Yarrowia lipolytica: one gene and its partners. The protein of the gene in region 2 purifies or fractionates together with the protein of the main gene of each other region. This does not show direct contact. Links are inferred from orthologs where the notes say so. Each region holds a gene or a part of one and is shown on either strand. Other genes may lie near its edges.

What was found. Proteins that work in one complex are often made in the same cells at the same time.
Region 1: the proteins of YALI1_B00242g (region 2) and YALI1_E22961g purify together in Saccharomyces cerevisiae (affinity purification with mass spectrometry; 3 studies listed by BioGRID, with this or other methods). This does not show direct contact. The link is inferred for Yarrowia lipolytica from reciprocal best matches to the Saccharomyces cerevisiae genes NFU1 and ISA1.
Region 3: the proteins of YALI1_B00242g (region 2) and YALI1_E17935g purify together in Saccharomyces cerevisiae (affinity purification with mass spectrometry; 3 studies listed by BioGRID, with this or other methods). This does not show direct contact. The link is inferred for Yarrowia lipolytica from reciprocal best matches to the Saccharomyces cerevisiae genes NFU1 and ACO2.

Annotation. Positions count from the first base shown.
Region 1 is NC_090774.1:2,293,616-2,298,724, reverse strand, and holds YALI1_E22961g (uncharacterized protein), read right to left. Parts: upstream 2,567-5,109; coding exon 1,814-2,566; downstream 1-1,813. Other genes in the region: YALI1_E22988g (uncharacterized protein), read left to right, coding at 1-1,176; YALI1_E22921g (uncharacterized protein), read right to left, coding at 4,695-5,109. UniProt on the Saccharomyces cerevisiae protein: Involved in the assembly of mitochondrial and cytoplasmic iron-sulfur proteins. Probably involved in the binding of an intermediate of Fe/S cluster assembly.
Region 2 is NC_090771.1:21,727-26,992, reverse strand, and holds YALI1_B00242g (uncharacterized protein), read right to left. Parts: upstream 2,772-5,266; coding exon 1,980-2,771; downstream 1-1,979. Other genes in the region: YALI1_B00273g (uncharacterized protein), read left to right, coding at 1-1,357. UniProt on the Saccharomyces cerevisiae protein: Involved in iron homeostasis within the mitochondrion where it is involved in the assembly of iron-sulfur proteins.
Region 3 is NC_090774.1:1,790,845-1,797,685, forward strand, and holds YALI1_E17935g (uncharacterized protein), read left to right. Parts: upstream 1-2,655; coding exon 2,656-5,028; downstream 5,029-6,841. Other genes in the region: YALI1_E17920g (uncharacterized protein), read right to left, coding at 1-1,177; YALI1_E17973g (uncharacterized protein), read left to right, coding at 6,457-6,841. UniProt on the Saccharomyces cerevisiae protein: Catalyzes the reversible dehydration of (R)-homocitrate to cis-homoaconitate, a step in the alpha-aminoadipate pathway for lysine biosynthesis.

The DNA.
Region 1 (5,109 bases), on a different chromosome or scaffold from region 2:
TTCCCGCAATACTCAAAGTCGTTCATTGACAACAACATCACCGGCGACGTGCTGGTTCACCTCGACCACGATGATATCAGCGACATTGGCGTGACGAAAATCGGTCACAGAGTGCTCATTCTCAAAAGCATATACCAGTTGAAGGAGAAGGAGGGAGGCACATACGACAAGGATGGCGACGGAGACGCCGGGGGCTACGTTCCTCCATCCATCAAAACCACCGATATAGACGACTACAACCGGCTGTTCAAGAGCTTTGAGATCCGAGATGAGCGCGTGTACCACGTGGAGCAGGAGCTCAAGAAGCTCATTGACTCTTTTAACAAGATCAGAGAAGACCTGCTTCCTCTGTTCAAGTTTGTCAAGGAAAGCAAACCGCTGCCCACTCCTGATGGAACCAACCCCATCCATGCCCATTACTTACATTCGCCAGGAACCCCCAATGACGCTGCTGCTCCAAATACAGCCGCCAAAGAGCCAGGTTCCGGGGCCAACAACCCGGGCCCTTCTATAGCCCGGAAGCTGAGCAAGTTGAACAACAAGAGTGCCCAGAAGTCGCCCACAACTCTGGAACCCGAGTCTGCAGCAACAGCGAGCTCCTCCGGAACTTCTGGACCCTCGGAACAGAAACGGCCGAATCTCTATCTCGGCTCAGTCAAGTCGTTATTGTCTCCCTCAGACTCCTCGGTGGCTGCCACTCCCGTAGTTACGCCGGGGGGCTCTACCACCCTACACTTCTCCCATCCCTACCAGAGCGGGTCTGCCGCATCGTCACAAGTCAACTTCTCCAACACATCCTTGGTTTCGCCTGGGGCCCAGCCAAGCAGCACCAACGCACAACCCACCAGCACCAGCCAACCGGTTTCTAACAGCAGCCAGTCCACCAGCACTCTGGCGACAGAACCGTTCAAGTCGTTCCGAGTGACGCTAGACGACCCCTGCTACAAGGTGCTGCCGGCAGCTCTACGACGATACAAGATCAACGGCGACTGGAAGCAGTATGCGCTGCTGGTGTGCTATGGAGACCAGGAACGGCTTCTGGGGCTTGAGGAAAAACCGCTCATCATTTTCAAAGAGCTGCAAGACGCCGGAAAACAGCCCGTCTTCATGCTACGCCATATCGAGGGCATGAAACAGACAGGCGTCGTCGTAGGTACCCCTGGAGGTGTGCTATAGGAATATATTGCATGATACTGTACGTGCGAGCTGGACGTGTACAAGAGATGTCTCTGAACTCGGCAATGTTCTAAAGTGTTGCAGCTGTATCCATATACAGTACCCATATTGGCTGTGTACAGCATGCCATGGCTTGCTATCATGAGGTAGAGAGCCATTGGTATCATAATACGAGTATTGCTTGTAATTGTATTTCCAATCATCTCCTCAACCGGTAGTTGATGTAATGAGACCACAAACGACTAGACCTTTCTATGAGCCTACAAAATTGCTTCAGACGACTCTATCCACGACTACGATATAAGTGTAAGCGTAGCAATAACCGTCTGTATAGAAGAGTCAAGTACGAGTACATGTACTTGGACTTACTTAGACGTCCACAGTCTTCAGCTACAACGCGCGTGCGTAAATACACACTTTGTAAGACACGAACGCGCTGAACGTGTTCATCTCTCATCTTCTGCTCGTGAGGAGCATTTAGGCACCCATTAGAGGAAAGAACCTATCGACAACGATACTTCCACTCGTACTAATGTTGATATCTAATATAATATTATGCTATAAATAATGCAGGGTACTCGTTTGAGCATTGTCTCGTCTTATCTTTGTATCCGTCTCCTCTGAACGATCATCCTTCTTAAACCATGAAGGACTCGCCACATCCACACTCTCCCTTGGAGTTGGGGTTTCGGAAAATGAACCGCGAAGACAGCTTGTCGTCGAGCCAGTCCATCTCGGATCCGATAATGCTAAACAGGGCCTTGGAGTCGATGAGCACTCGCACGCCGTCCTGGACAACCTCCTCGTCAAACTTGGCGGGCTTGTCCACGTAGTCAATGTGGTAGGTGAGTCCGGAACATCCTCGGTTTCTTACGCCAATTCGAATGAGCTTTGGCTCGGGCTGGTCAAGGAGGTCCTTGAGGTGCTTGACAGCTGTGGGCGAAAGAGTGATGACGGCCTTTCGGGGTCGCAACTTTCGGGTTCGCTTGGGAGCGGGGGCGGGAGCAGCAGCCTTTTCAGCGGGGGCAGCAGCCTTAGTAGGAGCAGCGGCCGGTGCGCTGGTCTTGGCGGCAGGTCGGAATGCAAAAGGAGTGGTGGCAGGTCGCGACGACTTGTCCTGTGTGTTGGGGAATTTGAATGCAAAGGGTTTGGGGGTCTCGATCTTGGACGACTTGGAAGCGGCGTCGAAACGGGGCAGCTGGTGACGGGCCCATGTGAATCCCTGGGGCTGAGACGAAGACGACTTGTTCTCGGCCTGGTTGTCGCTCTTGGACGAATGGTACGCATTCGGGTTGTTGAGCATGAACGGGGTCATGGAAGGAGTCGACCGCTCCGCCGTCTGTAGGAATCGCTTTCCAACCGTCAATTTGTTTCGTAGTGACATTGTCATATGTTGTGTGTGTAGTGTTGTTGTGTTGGCTTAGTAGCGTTGGAGGGAACCTTTGCTCTTATAAATCAAAATGTGTGGAGGTTAAATAACTTCGGGTCCGCCCCGGGGCTGCTGTTGGGACACCAAGCTTACATATGTTCGAGCTGTGATTGGCTGGGTTTAGAGTTCAGAAAGAGAGGCAATAAGGTTCCCCATAACTGGTGACGTAATGAGATGGTCATAAACCACGGAAACGTGTGCAACTGGTTTAATTGTGCGGAATTTGCAGATGGAAAAAACGTCCATATATTACTAGGCAGCTCAAAACAGCCCTAATCTGGTTTTCTGCCCCCAAAATCCCCCCCTTTACGCACCCGAAGCTTCCCACCGACAGCCAATCAGGCAACCGTTATATTTCCAAAATAAGGTTTCGGAAATGACTCTGCACTCTCGTTAACAGGCAGTTTATCTTGTGACCGCAAGGGTCTCCGGAGTGAGCCATATGGACGATATTATCGGGTGTTTGTGGTTGCAGCACCGACCTGAGTCTTTGGTCAGGGCAAATTTCCGGGTTTCCGCGGTCCAAAACTCTTGTCGGCGCCGATAAATCTGGTGGGACTTGCTCTCACATTGCCCCTGATGCATCACATGATCTCCGCCAGTAACCATCGGTGCAAACATTGTGCGGCTTAAAAGAGTCGAGGAAGACTAACCGGCAAGGTCGGGCGACTGGCAAAACCAGCTTGAGAGTGTGTATCTGCGTCGATATTGGCGCTGGAATGCCATGGAAGGCTGTGGAAACTTGATTAGTAATATGCTGACCGGGTTTTTATTACACGGACGCCCATTGGCTGAGCAAATGTTGGGGTAAGCACAAGGTACCATTGTGCGTAATCTGGCGTTAGGGTTCTGAATCCAGGGCATCAACATGGATCAAAATGTACATGATCAAAACCACTAGCAGGTAGCAGGAGTATCGTACAAGTCCGAATACGGATAGAAAAATGATACTGGAGGAGAAAAGGTTGCCTTATCCGAGTCTGCTGATTAACATCTCGCCATCGATTCGCCAAGAGTCATCCTACCCTGTGTTGGTATTATCATCGTATGTACATACATACACACATAGTTGCCATGTCTGATCTCCAGGGCAAAGTCTGAGAATCAGCAGATATGAAAAAGAAACCATGAACATCAACTTTATCTGAGCCGCACAATCGACCGGCTTTAGAAAGACCACTTCTGGAATGGAATCGGATCCTGTTGGCGTTGGGCGGGGGTGCGGAGTAGGATTCCTAATTGTAGAGCGTGGTTTGTGAATCGTTATCTTTGGTAGATCTATAAGATGAAGTGATAGATCTGATGAAGAGAATGATCTATAAGGTGTCCTGAGTGATAGATCTATAATATGCCTTGAGTGATTAGCTTGTTGCTTTAACTGCTACAGTTGTTACATGTGCCAGTACGAGTACAAGCTGTTTCCAGGGCAGTATATCGTATCAGCCTCGGTACCACGTCGGTCACTTACCAGATTGACCGTTTTTGCGAGTGCTCCTACTTGCATTGTATGTACTGTCTAGAAAAGTAGCAGCAATAGAAGCACATCTCAAGACATGTTACCAGCGTCCATAACTAAGAGGACATGTTGAGCCCTTCATCTCAGCTCTCAATATATAATACCCGATCTTGGAGTTGGCGGACTTCCGGAATAGTTATTGCTTTTTCCTCCGAAAGGCTCCCTTTGGTGTCCCATACTTCACCGTGGTTTTGGCAGTAGCTTCCGACAGGGACCCGTTCTTTGTCGGGAAAGAATCTGTAATTAACGCTTGAACGTGCCCATCATCGCTATCACACTTCTAGAACAGCCAGAATAAAAGCTCGACGCCCATCAATTCAAGTCGTGCACGGTACTGCTTCCTTCTTATAGTCCTCATCCCATCACAGTTACATGCCGTATGTACTTGTATCTCTCTTCAGCCTCAGTGCACTCCAGGAAGACCAGAAACTGTTCTAAAGCTCTAGTACAGCACTCAGTGGGGCCCTTTAGTGGTCTCTGGTGTCCAGCACCTATACCGGCATGCCATTGTTCATACAGTCAACCTCAACGCTCGTAAATCATTATGCATTCAGAATAATTACAGTGACATGTCTACTCCAGAGGAGCAGTCTCCTTGAGCAACCACTCCTTGACCTCGCCCTCAACCAGAGGTCCAACCTCGTTCCGCACAACCTGGTGGTAGTGGTTGACCCACTTCTTCTCCGAGTCCTCCAGCATAGAAACGTCAATCAGCTTGTGGCACAGAGGCACCCGGGTGATGGTCTCAAAGCCCAGATACTTCTTACCTCCAAAGTTTTCCTGGGTCTTCTTTTCCTTGCAGATCAGAACAGACTCGATTCGAATACCGTACTCGCCGTCCTTGTAGTAACCAGGCTCGTTGGACACCACATTTCCAATCTCCATGGGGAAGTCTCTGTAGGCGGGTCGGAAGCCGATTCCGAAGGGGCCCTCGTGCACGTTGAGGAAGGCGCCAATACCGTGGCCTGTGCCGTGTCGGTAGTCCAGA
Region 2 (5,266 bases):
CGACATCATCAAGGCTGTGGTTGTCATTTCGACAATGACCTTCCTGCTGCTCATTGACACCTCCAAGCTCTACCACAACATCAGAGGCCAGAACGCCATGAAGCTCTACGTCATGTTCAACGTGCTGGAAATCACAGACAAACTGTGTGCGGCTTGGGGTCTGGATGTGCTGGAGTCGCTCTTTTCCGCAGGCACCCTCAACAACTACCAGCGACTCGCGACATACATGGGTCTGTACATGGCTTACTCGGCTGTGCATTCAGGGGTGCTGCTGTACCAGATTGTGACCCTCAACGTGGCCGTCAACTCGTACTCCAACGCGCTGCTGACCCTGCTGTTGTCCAACCAGTTCAACGAGGTCAAGTCGACCGTTTTTAAGCGGTTTGAACGCGAGTCTCTGTTCCAGCTCACCTGTGCAGATATCACCGAGCGGTTCCAGTTGTGGGTGCTACTGGTGTCCATCGGACTCCGGAACGTGGTCGAGGTCTCCAATACGGGTCTCGTTCCATCGTCGTGGTCGGGCTGGAATCGATGGCTAGGGGCTCTGCTGGGTCCTGCTCTAGTGGTGCTGGGCTCCGAAGTCGCTGTCGACTGGCTCAAGCACTCGTACATTGCGAAATTCAACAATTTCCGTCCCAGAGTGTACCGCAAGTTTCTGGACGTGCTCACTCAGGACTATCACGAGCATGCATTCAATGACCAGCTCATTACTCGACGAATGGGCCTTCCTACCACGGCTCTGGCGTGCGTCTTCATGCGCATGTGCTACCAGAGCTACCAGATTCTTTTCGAGTCTGGAGAGTCGCGTTTTGTCAAGGGAACGCCTACAGTCAGTCCCCAACTGAGAGAGACATTGGCACAGGTGGACACAAAGTTCGTCAACAACGTGTCCGTTTCTGAGATTGCCCAGGCCACAAGGACGTTTTTCAGCTCGTTGTACAACGGCACATCGCCTCTGGTGTCGTTTTCTTCCAACATTATCCCTGTGTGGGCGAAATTCGACATTTACTATGTGACGTATCTGCTGACGATGATTCTGGTGTTTGCGCTTGTGTTTGCCGTACTGGTCATCTTCAAGTTGTTTCTGGGCCTCACCTTGTTGAGGTACAGTCACAGCAAGAGAAGACGACAGAAGCGAACGTTTGACGAGATGGAAAAGAAGAGATCTGAGTCAATCAAGGACGATTATCTGCCTGGAAAGACGAGGGGGGGACAGGGCGTGATTGAGCTGACGGACGATATGCAGCAGGGTCTGTACAGCGACGGGGAGGAAAAGAAGGAGAAGCAGCACAAGAAGAAGGTGGTGGAGCTGCAGAATGTCAGCAGGTTTGATATGGTGAGCAAGAGGATTTGGTAGCCGAGTGCGGCGAGTGTTCCAATGAAGCGTAGCCTTGGCTACCCGGGGCACCATTCCTCCACTAGCTCGCATACCTCCCATATTTATTTATTTTATGAGCATTTTTAATGATTGGTCATGTGACCGCAGAGATGTATTGCTGTGTCATGCCTTCTCCAGCAGTTCTTGCAAGTCATACGTCTGAGCTGAAACAATCAGATCGCGGTGTTTTCGAGTTGTAGATGGTCTTCAGGGCTTCCCTGAAGAGAATTATCACCGACAGTTTGTCCATATCTCTGGTTGGATCACAAGATACTGTCACTCCAGTCACGACCAGCCAGTAGTACCAAGAGGTGTTTGATTGAACGCTAGACATTCGTCGGTACTGTACTCCAATCTCAAGCTTTTTGCCAGTCGACACTTCTCCTTCCCTCGACTTGCCCTCTCTACTGCCATCGTCAATGACAAACTACACGCCTCTCACCCATTAATCATTCAATCTATTATATACACTTATGGTCTATCTGCTGTGTGCGCATAGTTAACGAGGGACTCAGCAAAGTGACACCAATCGTCTCGCTTTCATTCGGTTAGGTGGCCGCAGTGATCCTCCAAAAGAAGTCAGCCGCTTCGCACCTACTTCTTAGAGGGAGGGAGGCACCTCCTCGCCCTTCTCCTCAGCCAGTCGCTTCTCGAGCTTCTCAAACTCCTCGAGAGAAACCTTCTCCTCGGGATCGAGGAACTGCTCGACACCAGTCACCTCCTCGACGTAGTGCATGAGCATGCTCTCGATACCGTTCTTGAGGGTGACGGCTGAAGAGTCACAAGATCGGCAGGCGCCCAGCAGCTTGAGGTGCACGACGCCGGTGTCCTCGTCAAAGCCTCGGAATGCAATGTCGCCACCATCTTCCTGGATGGCCGGTCGGATTCGGGTTTCGATGAGCTCCTTGATCATAGACACAACCTCGGAGTCGTCGTCACAGGGAGCCGTATCCTCGGCGGCGGTGGTGCCCTCCATGACAATGGGGGCGCCGGCAGTGATGTGTTCGGTGAGAATGGAGAAGACCTCGGGCTTGAGGGTGTTCCAGTGGGTGTCCTGGGCCTTTTCGACGGTGATGAAGTCGGATCCGAACATGACCGATCGGACGCCGTCTACACCAAACAGCTTCTTGGCCAGTGGGGACGAGTGGGCCTCTCGGCCGCTGGTAAACTCGACGGTGTGGCCCTCGGGGAGAATCTGGACCGAGGGCAGGAACTTGAGGGCGTCCTCGTTGGGGGTGGAGGCCGTCTGGATGAACATGGTTCTGTGGAGGCTGGGGAGCTTGCCGGCGGCGATCTGGGGCCGCAGAGCCGGCTGTGTGAATTGTCGCGTGAGAGCGAGTCGAACGGCGGGTCGCTGGGCCCGGTTCATGAGTCGCACGGCGTTTCGGAGCATTTTGTGTTGTGTGGTGGAGATGAAAAGTGGTGGTGGACTTGGTGTTATAAGTCTAGTGGTGATAATTTAAACTTTGCTCGTGCATGGGAGGTGAATTGGAGAAAAGAAGATAGAGTGCCTTGAAGTGGGTCAATATTAGAGCTATGAGGACTTTAAATATATATTGTTGATCACTAATACGAGATAAATCCATTGGTAGTTTCAGAATTCCGATAGACCCATTATTTACTCGACTACTTACTCCATCCTATCATCTTCCCCGGCTTGTATTACACAAGTTCAAACTCAAATTTGTAATCTTTGCCACTCGCCAAAAAGTTCGATAGCAATCCGATTTGAGCCGGAAAAGAAGGAATATATGCTGATTTTGGCGATGGAATCTGTTTCCAACCTTGAAAATCGCCTTTTCCCCCTCATAATCCCCCCAAATCTGCCCTTTTGCCAATTAACCTCATCCGGTTATGCACCGCAATCTCGCCCTGCACATCTACTCCCAACCAAAAAAAATATGCATTCTTACATAATCCCAAAGAGCCGCGCGGTGATTGGCTGCAGCGGCAAAGAGGACTCTCAATTCAAGGTGCTGGCGCTGGGTTCGCTTTCTCCCCGCAATCGTCGTTGCTACATGTGACCGCAATTGCTTGCTCCGAATCTAAACTCTGTTTGCTTAGTAAGCGTACTGCTGGGAGTTCACAGGACTGTGATGGCCGAGTCGGAGCCGAGATGTAAGACAGAGGCTCCAGGGCTTGGTCGAGAAAGCTGGTGGGAATTGGGTGGTTTATTTGGGCTTGAATTGGTCGGTTTAGTTGGTATTTCGACTTTCAGGTCACCATTTAAAGAATTGGTGCTGCTGAAGAGAGTGCCAACGATAGGTAAATAGCTAGACCAGAAAGGAGATGAGAGTCGAAACTGAACAAAAGGAGAGCTCGACCGCACATGGTGATAATACCGTCTAACGTGGGTCTAGACATGTTTTTGTGGGAGAAAAACAATGATGTTAATGAAGTACTCACTAGAGCCATTAACCTGAGGTGTGAGTTAGTTCAACTGAGCTGTACCGTTGTCAGTCTACTTGTATGTTTCTGAGTGCTGATGAAGAAGAGAAGAGAGACATTGGGGAAACAAGGCGGATATATAGAGTGGGAAATCTGTCTGTGTAACTCATGCAGACTTTCTGATTGGGCAAATCAAAACAACACGGGCTGGATTGAAAGTGATATTGTCATTAGTGTTTGGTGGACTGCAGGTGCGTGCATATGAAGGTCGTAGGAGTATTGGAACGGGCTGAAATTTTGAATGTAGAGGTAGATGTGACGTATGTGAAATAGATTTCAATTTCAGTTCGTCATAGGGTTCAATTTCTCTTTTCGACTCGATAAAAAACTGTATATTCGACAAGTTATGTGACATTTCCAGCCCCGCTCGTATTTCGGATATATGTCAGATAAGATGTTATCTGTTGTCTACATTTAGGTAACTCAACGGAAGTGTGAATTGACAAACACATCTCTGCTCAGGCTAGATTATTCAGATTCGAAATTTGAAAGAAGAAACGGAATCAGCATGTGCACATTACCATACAAAAGTGTCGTTATTTTTGCAATATCGTGCCTCAACATGAAGTGGTGAAATCAAGCGTATGTATATACAGCCTTACTCGTGTTCAGAGCGAGGCATGTTCCACGTCCAATCTGATCTTAAGCATCAATGTATATATAATATATAGGACTATATCTTTTAATATATATATATATATATATATAGTTTTTTTGGAAACACTACTATAAAGGTATGTTTAATGTTGGCTCAGGTGAATTGCCTGATTGAGAAGCGAATGGACCAGCTTCTGGTCTCAATGAGAGCTATTATAGACGCCAAGTTGAATTCAATCTCTAATTTGCCCGTCTTGTGTCTGAGAACAACGACGTTGGAAATGGACGATGACATTGTATCTAAGAGAAAATCCCTGTCCCTCACCAAGAACAAGAAAAGCGTCAATGATGCAGATACGGAATTGATACTTGTGATTAAGAAATGGTGATAGCTCTCTTTAGTTTCAGGTATCCAGACTGCAACCATTGACTCTAGCGTCAATGCAGACTGTGGACCTCTTCCCGACGTACTTGGTTGGTACAGTAGTCGCTGATGAAATCCGTATAAGGAGCTCATTACCGACCCAGCAGATAACACAGCCGAGAACCAATCAAACCCGAAAGTTGACCAGAGATTCCCCAACCCATTTCTACACTTTCAATCCAGCTTTCTTGATATGACAAAAACTGCGCATCCCGAGTAGCATTGTCAGCCGCATCCGCAACAACAGTTACAGACATAAACGAAAGTTCACGTGATTGATCCCTTCATTTCCCGTGACTCGTTCGATGACTCTTTCGCGGCTAAGACAAGTTTCACGCTAAGGCTCTACTTGTACAGTAATTATGCTGCCTATTTGTACAGCATGTACTGTCGTAAATGTGCACCACATGTCGTCGGGA
Region 3 (6,841 bases), on a different chromosome or scaffold from region 2:
TTCCGTCGCCAAGTCGAATCTGAATTCTGCTTCCTCCTGCTCCAGATGAGGAGTTTGAAGGACCAGATGAGGTAGCAGCAGGAGTAGGGGCGGAGGGTGGCGGAGTGGCGGAGGAGGAGGGGGTAGGCTCCCCAGGAACAGGAGATCCGAGACGATTACCAGAACCTCCGTAGACAGGCTTCTTCTCCACGTATGCCTCTTCACTTCGGTCCGTCACGTTAATATCAACGGCCTGGTTATGTTGGACATCCAGGAGAGCCAGAGGAGCTCGTCCTTGGTTGAGGGTCTCGAGGTACCGCTGGTTTCGGGGGTCGTCGTATCTGTACAGAGGACCATCCTCGACTGTGAAACCGTTCTGCCAGAAGGTGATTGATCGAGAGACCTTGGGGAGAGAGGTGGGGAGAGCAGACTCCACGGGTCGGCTTTGGACCTCGTCGGAGCCCAGAGTGAACCCTGTTCCGTGGAAGCTTCCCACCTGTTCCTCATCCTCTGACTCATCGTCGTTCTCACCTCGAGGTCTTGCTGGGTTGGCCTCAGCTCGTCGAATGATATCATTAACCAGAGGGTTGCCTCCCTGGTTGCCCTGCTGGCCAGGTCTGTTGGGGTTCTGGACAGCCAGAGCCGACTTTTCTCCTCCAGTGAATAGGTCCTGTCGCTTGGGAGGCGCATTGTCTCGCGACAGATCTCCCAGAGTTCTGACACCCGCCACGCCCCTTCTAGGAGCAGGAGCAGGGGCAGGGGCAGAAGGAGCAGGAGTGGTGCTACTGCTGGCTCCGCTGACAGGAGTTGACGACCCGGTACCGTCTCCGAGTCTGTATCCAGAGGGCTGGGGGTTGCTGAGGATTCCCTGTGGCTCAGAGGCAGCAGCAGCAGGATCATCTCTGCCAGCTAGGCCACTGAGGAAGCCCTGGATTCCGGCGGCAATTCCACTGGGGGCCAGACCCGAGGGGTTGGCGTATGCGTCCGAGTCCTCCTCGACGTCAATGTCCTCGGCATCGTCGTTTTCAGCATCCTCCTCGTTCTCCTCGGGGTCGTCGTTAGCCGACAAGAACAGATCGACAGCCTGAGCCACGTCCCAGTCGGTGTGGAGCAAGCAATCCTGTGCATCTTCGGGCGAGGACTGTGTGATTCCCACGAATTGCGCGATTCGTTCGGTTTTTTCTTCTTCAGATACCATTTCTAGTCGTTGTGGCAGCTTTTGGTTAAGACTTCCTCAATGGTGGCAAGTTAAGTGTAATGCTGGTCCGAGATACATTAAGCTTTTGGATATGCAAGATGATGGTACACCCGAAATCGAACGTCGATATGGAGGTGAAGAGATGGTGCGTTTTACAGGGGACATCTTTGCCTCGTTTGAACGGAGGTTGCTTGGTGCTTTCAGTCGCTTTGGTAGCTCCCGAGACTTTTGCATACCTTTTGGGGCCACGATTTTTGGTCCGGCGCCAACCTGCCCCAAAATGCAAGTTGGTCCCGTGCAACCTATGGAGGAAACTACTCGAAAAGTCTGAGTGTACTGTACCGGGAAGGGCTACGAAGGTATTCCATTACAAGGAGACCATTTCTGCCAGATTGGGGGTATATATCACATTGAGCAAGGGTTAACAACCTTTACCGTGTGTAGTCACGTGAAGTTTTGTGTTGCTGTGCATGTAGCAAGTACAGTACATACTGTGTGAGTAGGTGGCGGCTACAAGTGCATACTGTAGCTCTTGATATGTGCAACCCAAAAACAGTAAATTGATGCACATTTGTTTGAATAACCGCAGAATATTGGAAAAAATCGGAAATAATAGGTAAAAAAATATAAACCGCTAGTGCAACATATTTGGGGGAGGAGAGGGTATGGTGTGGACCTATTTGTCTGTCCCCGAGGCATACAGTGGTTTTTTTGCTCTAGACAGTGCCAATTTAACCCCAGATCACTCGGTCTTTCTTCGTTGCCCTATACACACCCAAACATGATGTTATAATAGTCACCACACAGACAACAATATCGTGCACATGTTTTCTTCCGCAAGATGACACGACAAAGATGCAACTTCCAGGTCAATATATATAGGTCGCCTACTCGTACGTGATGTTATATATACACCATCGACCAGACGCGTGCCTCCCAAGTTAAGATTACGTCATTTCATTTCTACCCCAGGAACTATGCACCCAGCGATATCGGCAGCTCCACGGAGAAGTCTTTTTCAGCGGACCCCAGAACATGTGTCCAAAGCGACGTGATAGAGACACAAAACAAAAACTACTAGTTGCTAACATGACGACGACTAAAAACATGTTATCCACATGCACTTGATATCTACAACGATTACAGGTATTGTGGACGCTGTGTGTACCAACCGAATAAAGTTGCATGAATGGGTTGGTCTATTCACATGGGTCAGAGTCACGTGAAGGCGCGTAATATGGGGTATGGAAGGGTCAAACACCACTCTACCCAATGAACAAAGCACACGGACGGTGTCTCCGCTTTTATCATCCGTCCATACGCCCGGCTGGCTTACATTTGCGTGTTCTTGATTGGCTGGATAATGTGCAGTTGTGCACGAACCTTATCAGTATGAGTCACCGTGATATTTCAGATCACGAAGTTTCACCCTTTTTGACACAAACCAACTAAAAGATTTTCCCCACACAACCGAAAAAATGCTGAGAAGTGCTCGATTTTGCCAGGCACGATTCTCGGCCATCAAGGCTCGTGGTCTTGCCACCACTGCCAACGCCTCCGGCCTCAGCGTGCCCGCTGACTTCAAGACCCGAACCCCTCCCTACGCGGAGCTCATCAACCGTCTTGATCAGGTCAAGAAGATTATCAACCGAAATGATTTGACCTTGGCTGAAAAAATTCTGTATTCACATCTTCACAACCCTGAGGAGACTCCCAGCATCACTCGAGGTGACACTTACCTCAAGCTCAACCCCGACCGAGTGGCCATGCAGGATGCCTCTGCTCAGATGGCTCTGCTGCAGTTTATGACCTGTGGTCTTCCTTCCACCGCCGTGCCTGCGTCCATTCACTGTGACCATCTGATTGTTGGCCGAGACGGTGCCGATGATGATCTGACCCGATCTATCGCTACCAACCAGGAGGTGTTCGACTTCCTGCAGCAATGTGCCGAGAAGTACGGCATCCAGTTCTGGGGCCCCGGATCCGGTATCATCCACCAGATTGTGCTGGAGAACTTCTCTGTTCCCGGTCTCATGATGCTCGGAACCGACTCTCACACTCCCAACGCTGGTGGTCTCGGTGCCATTGCCATCGGTGTTGGAGGAGCCGACGCTGTCGACGCTTTGACCGGAACTCCCTGGGAACTGAAGGCCCCCAAGATTCTCGGAGTCAAGCTGACTGGAAAGCTGTCCGGCTGGGCTTCTCCCAAGGATGTTATTACCCATCTGGCTGGCAAGCTGACTGTGCGAGGAGGAACCGGAAACATCATCGAGTACCACGGCGAGGGTGTTGACTCCCTGTCCTGCACCGGTATGGCCACAATTTGCAACATGGGTGCCGAGGTCGGTGCTACCACCTCTACGTTCCCCTTTACGGAGTCCATGCGACGATACTTGGAGGCCACCGGACGAGCTCCCATTGCCGCAGCAGCAGCAGCTGCTCGAGACCGAGGCTTCTTGGCTGCTGACGAGGGTGCTCAGTATGACGAGGTTGTAGAGGTCAACCTGTCCGAGCTCGAGCCCTGTATCAACGGTCCCTTCACTCCCGATCTGGCCACCCCCCTCTCCAAGTACTCCACCAAGGTCACCTCTGAGAAGTGGCCCGATACCGTGTCTGCCGGTCTCATTGGATCATGCACCAACTCCTCCTACGAGGACATGACCCGAGTCGCCTCTCTGGTTGAGCAGGCCCGAGACAACGGTCTCGAGGCCAAGATTCCCTTCTTCATCACCCCCGGATCCGAGCAGATTCGAGCCACCATCAAGAAGGACGGTCTGACAGACGTGTTCGAGTCTGCTGGTGCGGTGGTTCTGGCCAACGCCTGTGGACCCTGTATCGGTCAGTGGGATCGAACTGACGAGACCAAGCCCGGCGAGTTCAACTCCATCTTCACCTCTTTCAACCGAAACTTCCGAGCCCGAAACGATGGTAACCCCGAAACCATGAACTTCCTGACCTCTCCCGAGATTGTCACCGCTATGATCTACTCTGGAGACGCTCACTTCAACCCCATGACCGACTCCATCACCACCAAGGACGGCAAGGAATTCAAGTTCCAGCCCCCTAAGGGTACCGAGCTGCCCGAGGAGTTTGCCAAGGGCCGACCCGAGTTCTACCCCGAGGCTGCCCCCCAGCCCCATCCCGAGGTGAACGTGACTGTCTCCCCCGATTCCGAGCGACTGCAGCTCCTTGAGCCTTTTGAGCCCTTTAACAACCAGGAGCTCAAGCTCTCGGTACTCATGAAGGTTGAGGGCAAGTGCACCACCGACCACATTTCGGCCGCTGGTGCCTGGCTCAAGTACAAGGGCCATCTTGAGAACATTTCCTACAACACCCTGATTGGTGCTCTTAACAAGGAGACCCAGAAGGTCAACCACACTATTGATGCCGCTGACGGCTCCGAGCAGTCTATCCCCGACCTCATGATCAAGTGGAAGGAGCAGGGCAAGCCCTGGATTGTTGTTGCTGAGCACAACTACGGAGAGGGTTCCGCCCGAGAGCATGCTGCTCTGTCTCCCCGATTCCTCGGTGGACAGGCCATCCTAGTCAAGTCTTTCGCTCGAATTCACGAGACCAACCTCAAGAAGCAGGGTATGCTTCCTCTGACCTTTGAGAACGAGGCCGACTACGACAAGATCCAGGCCTGCGACACTCTGGAGACCCTGGACCTCCTGGACATGCTTGAGAAGGGTGGTGACAACGGTGGCTTTGTCCAGATGCGAGCTACCAAGTCTGACGGCTCTACCTACGACTTCCGAGCCCGACACACCATGTCTGCCGACCAGGTTGATTTCTTCAAGGCTGGTTCTGCCATCAACTTCATTGGAGCCCAGAAGGCTGCCAACAAGTAAAGCCAGTAGTCTCCTTAGAGCAAGAGAGGCTGCACCTTCAAAAATAACAACCCCCCAAAACTGTAAAAATGAATTAAAGTCGAAAATGAGTTCCGAGATGAATAAAAGCCCAACGCACAGTGCAAATAATATTCCACTGTACCCCGTATAAGACCAATCAATATTATCTTTTGAGGCCCCCCCTCCGCTCCAAACATTCTTCGGGTCTCATTTGCTTTGAAAACCCATGTGTGCCTCAATGTGGCAATTCCAGGAAGGGAAAGGGGTCAAGTCAAGGGGCAATCGTGAAGTGTCGCAACTGTTGTGCAGAAGGACGGGAGCTAATGTCGACAGTTAAACAACAGCTGTTGATTTCGAAACATACTTCTTTCGAGGCTGCCGCACGCTCGCTGAGGCTCTTGTCGTATAGTCATGTGTGCCTGTGTGATGATGCCTCGAAGCAGGCCAGGTTGTGTGGCAGTCGGGGGTATACGAGTACGATACACAACAGAGAGCGGTCTTTGTGTATAAAAAGTCGTATTTAAGACTCCTGTGGGGGGGAATTGTACACGCGTTCACGCCGGAAAGATATTATTATTGCTGTTTGCTCCTGTTTATAAAGGCAGAAACACGCGCCAGCCTGAACACCAAAAGGAGATACCGAAACAAAGAAAACTGTGGGACGATAATTAGTTATGGAATGGAGACCCCGCACTACTAATATGCGCTATATTCTCTTTCCAATCCGGGGTCCCCGAGACTCGTAACTGTACGCCTTTGTTAATCAGCCTGGTAGACCTGTCAACCTCCTCATGTTGTCCTGTCATTCAATTGGTATTCACAAACCAACATCACAGAATGCTGATCTGCAAGTGCATTCGAAAATTGTGATTTCGATTGACACCAATGGATGGTTTTCAACTTTGGCACTCATTGAATTGCCATTGTTGGTCCGTGACCTGGACCAGAGCTCAACGAAATCATTTTGTGCAGTCAGATGACACAACAATATGAGAGCACAGATTGAGATGCATGCTTCCAGGAACGTACAAACGGACCCCCAAGTCGTGAGATACTTTGTTACGTGTACCAATAAGTTGGAGTATTCGCTAAAGACGAAAAACGCTCTGATTTGGTTACGGCACTGGTCACCTGCATTCCTAAAATTAATCGCACATCTGGTATTGTCTTACAGCATGTCCACCTCTCCTCCTCTCCTTGGGTACAGTATTGTACAGAAGAATGCAGCCTTTCATACATAAATCCCAAGTAATTTTACGAGTGATTTGGGTAACTGTCCCATTACGTCATGGGCTCAACTCTCCCCGAGCCATTGTGGATCGTCACAGGATTTAATTATATGTCCTGTCCGAAACTCTATTCATCACTGCCGTACATGGATTCTGCAATGTTGGATATCCATCTCAACTGTACGTAATTGTATGTCGTATGACCTGTGGACAGCAAAAAACCCCACAAACCGACCACAACAATAAAACCAGTCCTTTGACTCCCCACACTCGACGTGTTGATGAGATCGGCTGCCTTCACAGTTCCCAGTTTTGCATCAGCACGCACATTCAATGCTGTAATTACGTATTGGTACAGGTTCCACGCGTCATTTATCACGTGCGGGGACACGGGAAGATAACATGGAGCACATTGCAGCCAACCAAACGAAAAGTGAACCTAAAGGATATCAATACAGACACTCCCGGGCAAACCACAGTTGAGAATCGGCGGTTCGGCACACCTCGGAAAGAAATGAACACGTGGAGAAAACCACAGCGTCGCCTCGTGCGTAGTCGTACCTACAGACAGCCTTATCTAAGCC